Linked DNA regions of Sus scrofa. The protein of the gene in region 2 binds, or shares a complex with, the protein of the main gene of each other region. Links are inferred from orthologs where the notes say so. Each region holds a gene or a part of one and is shown on either strand. Other genes may lie near its edges.

Evidence for each region. Proteins that work in one complex are often made in the same cells at the same time.
Region 1: the proteins of VPS51 (region 2) and STX6 are in contact, whole or in part, in a crystal structure (PDB 4J2C), measured with the Homo sapiens proteins. The link is inferred for Sus scrofa from reciprocal best matches to the Homo sapiens genes VPS51 and STX6. Residues at the interface, in NP_037397.2 of Homo sapiens: Ala33, His34, Met36, Leu37, Leu39, Tyr40, Tyr41, Gly42, Leu43; in NP_005810.1 of Homo sapiens: Met3, Glu4, Asp5, Pro6, Phe7, Val9, Val10, Glu13, Trp59, Asp60, Asp63, Leu64, Glu66, Thr67, Ile70, Val71, Phe78, Arg88.

The regions. Positions count from the first base shown.
Region 1 is NC_010451.4:122,577,240-122,583,153, forward strand, and holds the start of STX6 (syntaxin-6), read right to left. Parts: upstream 3,335-5,914; 5' UTR 3,128-3,334; coding exon 3,093-3,127; intron 1-3,092. UniProt on the Homo sapiens protein: SNARE promoting movement of transport vesicles to target membranes. Targets endosomes to the trans-Golgi network, and may therefore function in retrograde trafficking.
Region 2 is NC_010444.4:7,091,132-7,097,043, forward strand, and holds the start of VPS51 (vacuolar protein sorting-associated protein 51 homolog), read right to left. Parts: upstream 3,768-5,912; 5' UTR 3,661-3,767; coding exon 3,436-3,660; intron 3,417-3,435; exon of another isoform or gene 3,134-3,416; intron 2,977-3,133; coding exon 2,847-2,976; intron 1-2,846. UniProt on the Homo sapiens protein: Acts as a component of the GARP complex that is involved in retrograde transport from early and late endosomes to the trans-Golgi network (TGN).

The DNA.
Region 1 (5,914 bases), on a different chromosome or scaffold from region 2:
CTTTTTGCCTTTTCTAGGGCCGCTCCTGTGGCATATGGAGGTTCCCAGGCGAGGGGTCGAATCGGAGCTATAGCCTCCGGCCTACGCCACAGCCACGCAGGATCCAAGCCGCGTCTGCAACCTACACCACAGCTCACGGCAACACCGGATCCTTAACCCACCGAGCAAGGGCAGGGATCGAACCCGCAACCTCATGGTTCCTAGTCGGATTCATTAACCACTGAGCCACGATGGGAACTCCTAAATTTTACATTTTAATTTAACTTTAAAAACTGATATACACTTCAGCTACCAAAAATTCTGAAAGTATACGTGGAACAATCTGGGTACATCAATCCGCACTTTGAACTGTGTGTTTAATGAACTCCAAATAAAGATCAAGTGTTTCTGATGAAAATTTAGTGTCCAAATTGAGATGTGCTCTAAGTACAAAATACTCGCCGGATTTTTAAGACGTAGTACAAAAAGGGAAAAATCTTTCATTAACAGTCTTTATATTCATCACATGTTGAAATATTTTGAGTATACTGGTTAAAGATGACATTAAAATTAATTTCACTTGTCTTTTACTTTTTACTGCATCTACTAGGCAATGTAACACGGCATGTGTGGCTCACACCGGCATACTGGAGAGCACCCAGCCAGCAGAACTAAGATAGATGAAAGAGGAAAGGGATTGGGAGCAAGAGGACCAAATGGATACTCTTCTTGCCAATAGTCCAGAAGAGACACAGGCTGAATTATCTAAGAGCTACCCATCTTCAAAACCTAAGACATACTACTACCTCCAAAGCTTTTCCAACCACAGCCATTCCTAATGAGATGCCTTTCTCCGGACTACTGGGGCACCTAATCTTCTGTAGCATTCACTTCAGCATTTGATCACTTACCACCTGTCATTTCTACTTAATTTGGGGGTAAGTTGTTTTTCAGATTAGACTACCAGCTCCTAGGCTACAGCATTTGATCACTTACCACCTGTCATTTCTACTTAATTTGGGGGTAAGTTTTTTTCAGATTAGACTACCAGCTCCTAGGCTAAGGGCCACAATTCAAGCATCTTTAATTTTTCCACATCGTGGGGTGCATTTTCAAAACTTTCAATAAGCAGAGATACATGGCTCCATACATTCCCTCACACATTGTGGAGGCACTCATGTAGCTAATTTTACTTTTCCACAGCAGAAGGGTTTTTTTTCTTTTTCTTTTAAGGGCTGCACCTGTGGCATATGGCAGTTCCCTCCAGGCCAGGGGTCTGAATTGTAGCTACAGGTGCCGGCCTATACCACAGCCACAACAAAGCCAGATCCAAGCCTCATCTGTGACCTACACCACAGCTCATAGCAATGCCAGATCCTTAACCCACTGAGTGAGGCCAGGGATGGAACCCATGTCCTCATGGATACTAGCTGGATCCATTTGCACTGCGCCACAACGGGAACTCCCACAAAGCAGAAGGTTTTGACATCTTAAGAACATGAGCTAAAATGATGTCAAAGTCAAGCAAGACTCAAGGCCAATGTTCCAATAAAGCAGTGATATCTAATCAGTGAGCAAGCACTGGTGAACTGCACTGGCTACCATCAAGAAAAAAAAAGTCAAGATGGCAAAACAATTTTGCATTTTCACAAATCCCATTAAAAATTTTAAAATTCTGATTATCTACAGTCTCCACAGCCAGAGATAACCTTTGCAACCCTAAGCATTAAGAACGTTCACTCAAGGAAAAAACAGTTTTCACATTTAAAAATTATCCCCTAAAAATCAATCCTAATAAACCACACATTTTCCAGGTAGAGAGCCACATATTACCAATAATCTAAACTCAGCGTTTTTCCATTTATATTAAAGTCAGGTTAAAAAAAAACTTTTAAAGGCAATGTTAGAAATACATAAATATATTTAACTGTATCATGGGTAATAAAGTATTTAACTTAAAGTACCATTTAAATTTTGTAAAATGAACCGTAAAAAAAAAAAAATAACACTCAAGCAACTGGTCAACTTTTACCCCTACAGAAATAGGAAGCTAGTAGCAACTAGTTGAAAGCAGAGGCACTTTAAGGTCATTGGCACTGATTTTTCCAGAACGTTGCAGTTCTCAGATTGTTTTGTTTGACATTTAAAACAAAAGCTGACAAGTTATAACAACAGAATCAATCTTTTCTGCATTTGTTTAATGGCTACAAAGCCTATATAACAGAGTGCAGTTAAAGCTTCTATCTCCAAACAAACAATTGAGCAATCAAAGATGGAGTCACGACACTTCTTAGGGAAAAATAAGTTAGGACAGCTCTAGTCTCAAAGGCAGAAAAAAGAAGAAATGGGGGAAACCTGTCAAATAGCCTGGATGAAATCAGGGAGTTAAAAAGAAAGCACTCATTTCCTTTAGCACTGTGGGAAAATCCCTGTGCTAACAGAAAGCTAAGGAAAGTTTGGTTTGGCTGATTTCATTTTGTTTTCCTTCCAACATCACCACTGAGTTTGAACAGCAGCTTTCCTCCCCTCCCATTACTCGGTAAAAACTCCCCCACTGAATAGAGTTGTCTTCCGGAGCCTCGCGCCCCCGCCTCCCAGCCTGCAAACGTGCTCAGACGCCTCTGGGCTTGTTGTGGTCTCGCCAGTCAGCGGGCCAGCGCTCCGAACTCAATGGACAATGGGAGCTCACCCCCGTCCACGCCAACTACAAAGCTCAGGAGGCCCATTTCCCTTTTCCTGCCCAGATGCTGTTTTTCCCCCTTCAAAGCAGGGCCCGGTGCTCCACTACAGCCCCACTTTGGTCTGGGACGCCTGTCTCCCTCCCCACCTGAGGAGCTGCTGAACCCCTCGACACCCCTCCATAAGTTGTAGAACGGCGCACAAGCCAAAGGAGACCCCCCCCCTCCCCAGGGGCTTGACTGGGGGCACGGTTTCAAAGTCCAGGTAGCACGAAGAGGGGATGTCTCTGGACGCTTTATCATAGCCCTCAAGGCTAAGCGGTCCCCACGCCAGACTCTACTTGTCTCCCCTCCCCCTAGAGCGAGAAAAGCGGGGAGGTGAGGGCAGGCAGCACTGCCGCCGCCTCCTCCAGTGGAGCCCCCTACGACACTCACCCTTTCACCACAAAGAAGGGGTCCTCCATGGACATGGCGTCCCGGCCCCCGGCCGCCTCACGCCTGCTCTGCGCACAGGGCGCCCGCGCCCTCCCAATCTCCCTCTGCCCACCCCACCCGCCTCGCGCAGCAGCCCGCGTCTCGGCCTGCGGGACCTGTAGCGGCTGCGCGCGCAGGCAGGGGTGCACCGGCCCGCCGCGGGTCCAGTACTCTGTCTGCACCTCAGACCGAAGCCGTGACTCTGGCGCCGGCCCCGGCGCGGCCCCCTCCTCGGCTCCTCCCGGCGCGTCCGGCCGCTTGGCCCCGCCCCCAGGTCCCTCAGCCTCGACCAATCACGAACGCCGTCAGCCGCACCACTTCCGCACTCGCGCTCACGTGACCAGAGCCCCCCCCACCCCCCATCAGCAGGGCCTGGGCCTTGCGTTACTCGACCCTGGAGGCGGGGCTCTGGCGGCGGCGGAGAGGGCGGGTCTTCTCAACACTCACCTCTCAAGATTCAGGGGGAGGAGCTGCTTGTTCCCTGGCAAGAAAGGTAGTCAGGTTTCCTAGATACGGAGATAGTATCAGCTTTGCACAATCTTTTCACCTTTCCTCTCCTTTTGATACTTATTTTGATAACATATAGATTTAGAAATCCATCTCGTCCTCGACTTAGAATAAAGCTCGTCTACCTTATCTGACTCTGATAATGTTGCACAACTCCTTTCTGTGGGTCTTATAGTGCCCAGCAAGACGCTGAAGGCTGTGAGTTATCTCAGTATCCTTGGAGGGGAAGGTATTATTATTCCCATTTTGCAGATTAGAAAAATTCATATAGGTTTCAAGATTTCTTGTGCTCACACAACCTGGACAGGGCAGAGCCCCAGATTCTGTGCACTTTCCACCAGGCTAGGATGTGTTTTTGTGTGTGTTGCGTTTTTTGTCTTTTCTGTGTTCTTGAAGTGATCAGTAAGATAATTTTTTCATACAGCATATGGTGCTTCCTGGAAGAGAGCATTTTTGAAGGACAAAGAAGGGGCCAGGTCTGGCAACTTCTTACCAGCTAAGTGGTTCAAGAGCTCTTCCAGGAAGCCTTTTGGTCAGAACAGTTTATCAAACTCATACGCTAGATAGTCTATGGGTTTTGCGAACTTTAATTGCTGATTATCATTGAGCACATACTGTGTGGCAGGCACTGAGCTTAGTTTATCTCAGGTGCTCTCACAATGTTGTAATCCCCATTATACAGATAAGAAATCTGAGACTTGGAATTTAAGTGACTGGCTTAAAGTTAGCAGTCTTTTTGAAGATAGAAGAGTCCTCAGAGCCAGACAAACCCTGTTTGAACCTGGGTTCTGTTATTCAGTCTCTCATCTATAAAATATGAATATTTAGCTCATAGATTGTTGTGAAGTTTAAATAAAAATGGCTAGATGGAGTTCCTGTTGTGACTCAGTGGGGTTAAGAACCCAACTAGTATCCATGAGGATGTGGGTTCCATCCCTAGCCACGCTCAGTGGATTAAGGATCCAGAGTTGCCTTGAAGTGCAGCATAAGCCAGCAGCTGCAGCTCCTATTCGACCACTAGCCTGGAAATTACACGTGCTGCAGGTGCAGCTCTAAAAGGGGAAAAAAAAAAAAAAAAAAGCCTGGAAACCCCAAGTCTCCCACAGAGTGAGGAAGTGAAGTTAGGGAAACCAGTCTGGAAGCTGCTGTGGTCATCTCACCTGAAGGGATGAGGACTAGACCAGGACAGCAGGGATTGTAAATGGAGAGGAAGGAGAGAATCTGATAGATGTTTCCAAGGAAAAACAAAACAAAACAACTAGACTTGATGAGAGATTGAATGGGATCAGGGAGGAAAGAGGTAAAAGTCAAAGACTCCAGGCTTCTCCAAGACCCTGGAGGAGCGATGGAGGTCAGATGTGGGGGGGAACCCTCCTGGAAGAGAACTGTTTCAGTTCTGAACATATTGAGGTGAGGAATTGAAAAGGGATCATCTTTCATTCATTCAACAAACACATGGAAATTGAGATGAGAATGGTGATTAAGATCCAGAGTTGCAACCAGATTACTTGGGTTTGAATCCCAGTTCTGCTACTTCCTGATTATTGCACCTTGGGCAAACTGCTTAGTCTCTGTCCTCAACTATGAAATGGACACCACAAAACACCTCCCTCATAAAGTGGCGTGAGGACTGAATGAATTAATGTCTGAAAAACGCTCAGAACAGTGCCTGGCATGTGTTGTTCTCTTACTGTGCGCTAGGTACAGAGGACACAGAGATGAACACGTTTGGTCCTTGCCATCAAGGAATTCTCAGACTGGTGGGAGAGACAGGCCATTATACAAAATGAGAAAAGAGCATGGGTCGCCATAGAAACGCAGAAAAAAGCTACCAGTTTATTTGTGTTTGGGGGGGAGAGTGGGTTCTAAACAATGGCTAGGGGCAGCCAGGAGACAGCGTGGCAGCCTGGAGGGCAGCCGTGGCAGAGGGCATTGCTGGAGGGGAAGAAATGAGATTGTGGCAGCAGGAACTAAGGCTGAAAATGGGCAGAGCTAGTTAATCGGGGCCCTTGATTGTGATGTTAGGAACTGTGGAGCTGCTGCTATACATCACGATAGCTGAGGGATAATGCTGGCATTTGAGACAGGTGCAGCAGTGGCTGAAAAGTCATCTGGAAGGTCATGGTCCAGAGAAGGGATGGGGATGTCCTGAGATGGGCTCACTGCAATGAAGATGGAGAGGAGGGGTAGATATGTTAAAAAAAAAATACTTAGAGGCAAAATCTGGGCACCTGGTGAATGAATGGTTCAGGATATTGGGAAGTTGGGGAAGGAGG
Region 2 (5,912 bases):
ATTATCAACCAGTTCTTTTTTGGCCACACCCGTGGCATGCGGAAGTTCCTGGACTAGGGAACCTCCACCACAGCAGCAACCCAAGCCACGGCAGTGACAACACTGGATCCTTAACCCACCGGGTCACCAAGGAACTCTTGAAACAGCTCTTCAGCATACAAAAAATGTTCAACCTCACTCACAAGAGAAATGCAATTAAAACTACACAGATACAGAGTTCCTGTCACAGCTCAGCAGTTACTGAACCTGACTAGCATCCACGAGGACATGAGTTTGATCCCTGGCTTTGCTCAGTGGGTTAAGGATCTGGCATTGCCATGAGCTTTGGTGTAGGTCACAGACAAGGCTTGGATCTGGCGTTGCTGTGTCTGTGGTGTAGGCCGGTGGCTGCAGCTCCAATTGGATCCCTGGCTTGGGAACCTATGTATGCCATGGGTATGGCCCTAAAGAGACAAAAAAAAGACCAGAAAAAAAAAAAAAAAAGAAAGAAACAAACTATACAGATACTACTTTTTACCTCTCAGACTGCCAAAGATTGAAAATTTTGGTAACTTAGTATCGGCCAGGGAATATGGAAAGAGTTACTTTCCTATTTGCTGATGGCTGTGCAAAACCAGGTCATTTTTGTGTGTGGCAAAGAATCTGGCAATAGCTAAGAGCATTCACTTGTGAGCCTTTGCACACCCACACTTGGCCTGTGTGAGCTCCTGGACTGGGGGAATGTTCTCTGAGCGGGATTGGGGCAGCAACCCAACTTGGGGAAACAGCAGGAAGGACAAAGTGAGGAGAAAAACATCAATGACAATGACAAGGAAAATAAAGAGGAATAGATACAAAAGTTCCAATGAAAAAAATAGCAGAGAAAATCAAAGGAAAAAAATGCACAAGAAGAACTCTCAAAGCTAATGCCTCTGGGGCGAATAAAAGGTGTTCAGTTTTTTTTAAAGTTACATGAAGAGATAGACCATGAATCACAAAATGAACATTTTATGTTAGCAACACAGGCTATGGGACAAGACCATTCACCTCTCTCAGAATCCACAGAGAGGAAGGTTACTAAAAAATAAAGTCACATAAGATGAAACATCTATACTACTCTTTGGGGCTACTGGTTGGAGTTGCTTGCATTTTTTTTTTTTTTTTTTTTGGATAAATGATGATTGTGTTGTCGGTTCACAATGAATTAAGGCACCTAGCACGGACAGGGCAAGGCAGTTAAAAACTGAGTAAGAGCGGAGCAAAGGGGAGTTCTCAAAGTGACTCAGCGGAAATGAATCTGATTAGTATCCATGAGGACACAGGTTTGATCCTTGGCTTCACTCAGTGGGTTAAGGATCTGGTGTTGCTGTGAGCTGTGGTGTAGGCCTCAGATGCGCCTCGGATCTGGCGTTGCTGTGGCTATGGTGTAGGTCAGCGGCTACAGCTCCCATTCAACCCCTAGCCTGGGAACCTCCATATGCCATGGGTGCAGCCCTAAAAAAAAAAAAAAGACCTCCCTGGAAAAAAAAGAGCAGAGCTAAGGCAAAAGACAGAAGCTAAGGTACCAGAAGGCTCCCAAGATGATGATCATAAAAAGGCTTGGAAGTTCACGAGGCGTTTCATCCTCCCTCAGTGATGATCTCACTCAGAGTAAAGAGCAGGATCCTCATCCCACCTCCAAGTCCCTCCAGAAGCGGCCCCTCCACCCCAGTCACCACCACCCGCCTCCTCCCTCAACTCCCTGCTGCACTCTCGATACACCAGACATGCTCTCTTGAGAACTTTTGCTCTTGCTGTTTCCTCCCCCAAATCCTTCTCCTCATGGCTGGCTCCTCCTCATCAAAGCCTTGCTCAAACGTCACCACCTCAGAGGGGCCTTCTCATACTTACCCTATCTAAAGACAGACCTCCCCCCCAACACATTATCTTTTCCTCTTGCTCTACATTTGCTCATAGCACTTATTACTACTTTTATTTGTGCGTTCACTTATTCAGAATTCCTGGGAGAAATTTCTCAGCATAGAAATCATGATTTCTTGCTGTTTGATGCTGGTATTAACATATAGAGGGGCACCTGCTCATTGAACCTGCTTCAAATCAGATCAAAGAACAGCGATTATGTGTTACTACACCCACTGCTGTGACAGTAGCAGAATAAGAATTGTCAGAACGAGTGCCAGAGGTTCCCGGAACATTCCTATAAACTGCAGGCAGATCCATAGGACCAAGGACATGCGGGTCCAAAATTATTACAGAGAACTGAAGAGTGCGTTTCTTCAACACAGGACAGAAGCTAGTGTGGATGACAGCTGAACATTGTCTAGCACTGTCTTGAGTAGAGAATAAAGGGGGAAGAAGGGGCAAAACCCCTTTATATGATCTTTGTGTGTTACTGTCATACACTTTCTGTCTCTTCGCTTCATTGAAAAAAGAGAAAGCAAGGGGAAAGAGGGAAAGGGCAAGGAAGGAATGAAATAGAGAGAAAAAGGAAGAAAAGGGGAAAAAAAAGTGAGAGAGAAAGAGTGATAAGCTCATGTTCAAGACAGACCTGAATCAGCGAACAAAGCTACCACTAATGAGAGAAACTAATCATTACTGAGCCGTCCTTACTGTTGGAAATTCTAAGTGCTTCAGATAAATTCGTTTCTTTTAAAAATTTCATTTGTCCTTTCTTTTCTTTGGTCCCCAAAACAACCCTCTGAGAACAGTTAATACTGTTTGATGACTCGTCATCAAACCACAAAGGCTCTGAGAGAGAGGCGTGAGAGTGGATTAATGTCAGGGCAGGACTGGAATCTGGCTTCCCCAACAAAGGAGGAACTGGGGAATATGGGACTGTGTGGAGTGTGTCCCAGTAGGAGAATCACCTGTGGCTGAGATGAACTTGTTGTAGTTCTCATACACCAGGGTCTGCATGTCGCTGTCTAGAGCCCGGATCTGCCGCACCATATCGGTCTCACTGTCCATCAGCTGGGCCAGTGGGCATTCTCTACGCAGCTGGAAGAAATCGGGTGGTTAGTGTTCAGGACAGGGGGCACCCATGTCCTCCAGCCTTGCCCCTAACTGGTAGGCTTTCGGTGCAAGAAAACTCTGATCTCAACCCTGTCAGGGCTCTCAGGTAAGGAGCCTACAAGTAGCATAGCTCGGGAATTACCAGGTTGGACTCTATTAGGAATGTGTCAGCGTTTGAAATCCTCAGATGCTGTCACGGACCAGTTCTACGCCTGTCGGCGCCAGGGCCACGCCCCGTATCTCGGGTCTGTTCGAACATCGGTCCAGGAGACCTCAGACTTCGCACCATCTCAGGCCAGTACGAGTTTCCCCACGCCCTCTTATCCTCCAGCTCTGCCCCTACTGCCCGGCCCAGGGTCGTCCTGCTTTTATGAACCTCTGCTCCCCTCATCTGGGGGTGCAGTATATCGAGGGCCTGTCCCCCTCCCTCCCCCATACACACACCTTGTCCAGATACACTTCCGGGTCGAAGTGCGCCCCATTGAGGTCTGTCGGGTCCAGGGGGTCCGGCCCCACGGGGCGCCCCGCCGCCTCACCCTCTGAAAGGCCGTAGTAAAGTTTCAGCATCCCGTGCGCCTTCCGCCGACGCTCCGGAGCGTCCGCCTCGGGCCCCTCCGGGGAGCCCCCAGGTCCAGACCCCGGCCCAGGCCCAGCGGCTGCCGCCGCCATGGCTCCAACTGCAGCCCACGGGCGTGAGGCTGGGCAGGGGACCGGGAGGAGGCACTTCCGGGAGCCATAGAGTTGCTGCAACGAGGCAGTCCTTCAGGTGAAACGTCCCCCCGCAGCCCTGAGTCCTTCGAGACTAGAGTTCCCACCCCGCATTCTTCCTCCCCAAGCGAGGGGTTCCTGAGAGCCCTGGTTCCCCCAGCTTCTCAGGCGTAAGGATTTTGTGGAACTGTCCTCCCAGAAGGAGGGCGGCTTGTGGCTTCCAACCCCGCACCCTCGCAGGCAAGAGCCCACGCAATACGTCCCTAGACTCGGTGGACAGAGCGCGGGCCGTGGAGCCAGAGAGCTTATGCCTGGCATTCTGCCACTACCTTGTTACGGGAGCAGCAGTTTCAGTTTCCCCCGGATTCCTAATATTGGGGTACATATTTCGCAAGGGAGGTACGAGGATTAAATGCAGGCACAGTGCCTCTAGCGCAGCGTTTTGCATGGCCTGGTCCTCTGATGTTCATCAGAATGGCTTCAGAATTACCCGTAGCAGCACCTTGAGAAGCGGACTCCCTTCAGCTCTAGCTTCTCTCTCTCTTTTAAGTCCTGAAGTAGTTCTGGTGCACTTGAATTTGAGAACTCCCATTATACTGTGCTTAGAAGACACACTTGGCAAACCTTAAGTGACTGATGGAATGTGCTAAGTGAGGGGTTGGGTGGAGATGGTGAAGATAATTCTCAGGTTTTCTTTGAACAAAGTTACAGCTCACCTAGGTGAAGAGCTGAAGATAGGGAACGACTTAGAGTACAGATTGAGACATGCCGAGTTTGAATGGATGAAAAAGGAGAAAAAGGCTTCATCAGTGTGGTCCTTGAAATATTACTTATGATGGACTGAGGGGAACCAGGGGTGGAACAGAAACAACTTTATTTATTCTTTGGCAGGGATCCTGCAGGCCAAACACAGCCCTCCACCTGTTTTCATATTGCCTGTAAGCTAAGAATTTTTTCCCCTTTTTAAATGGTTGAAAAAGAATGACATTTCATGATATGCAAAAGTTATATGAAATTTATATTTCAGTGCCTATAAATAAATAGCTTTATGGGAACACATCATGCTCATTTGTTTACATATTACCTATGTCTGCTTTTGCACTACAAAGCACAGTTGAGTGGCTGCAACAGAATCATATGGTTGGCAACACCTAAAACATTTATTATCTGTTCTTTCACACAAAAAGTTTGCTGACTCAATGAATGGGATGTTTAGAGGGTATATAAAAATACACGTGAAGATTTCAGCTTATGAAGCTATAATCTTAGGAAAAATGAAGAGAATACAAAGATTTAGATCTACTCCAAGAAATCTATAAACTGAAAAAAAGTTGCAGTTCCCATCGTGGCTCAGCGGTTAACAAATCCGACTAGGAACCATAAGGTTGCAGGTTCGATCCCTGCCCTTGCTCAGTGGGTTAAGGATCCGGTGTTGCCGTGAGCTGTGGTGTAGGTTTCAGATGCGGCTCGGATCCTGCGTTGCTGTGGCTCTGGCGTAGGCAGGCAGTGACAGCTCCGATTGGACCCCTAGGCTGGGAACCTCCATATGCCGCGGGTGCAGCCCTAGAAAAGGCAAAAAGACAACAACAACTTAAAAAAAGTTGCAGGCGAGTTCCTGTTGTGGAGCAGCAGAAATGAATCTGACTAGGAACCATGAGGTTGCGGGTTTGATCTCTGGCCTTGCTCAGTGGGTTAAGGATCTGGCCTTGCTGTGAGCTGTGGTGTAGATCGCAGACACAGCTTGGATCTGGTGTGGTTGTGGCGTAGGCTGGCAGCTGTAGCTCCAATTAGACCCCTAGCCTGGGACCCTCCATATGCAGAGAGTGCAGCCCTAAAAAGCCAAAAAAAAAAAAACAGCAACATTGCAGGGAATTAGTTTCCCTGTGCAGAAGGTTAAGTATCCAATGTCACTGCAGTGGCTCTGGTTGCTGCTTTGGTGCAAGTTTGACCCCTGGCCTGGGAACTTCTGCATGCTTTGGGCATGGTCAAAATCAAAGCAAAACAAAAGGCTACACAATACTGTTAAAATTATTATGCAAAATTTGGAATAGAGACAAAGAGTGTAGCATGATTGTCCAATATCATACTGGGGCATTATTTAACAAGCCCACCCGAGGATTATTTAATCACCCATCAGATTGTACACTTGTTTGATTTTGCTAGATATTGCCCCAGAGCAATGCAAAACATTTATAGCCAGTTGAAAAATAACC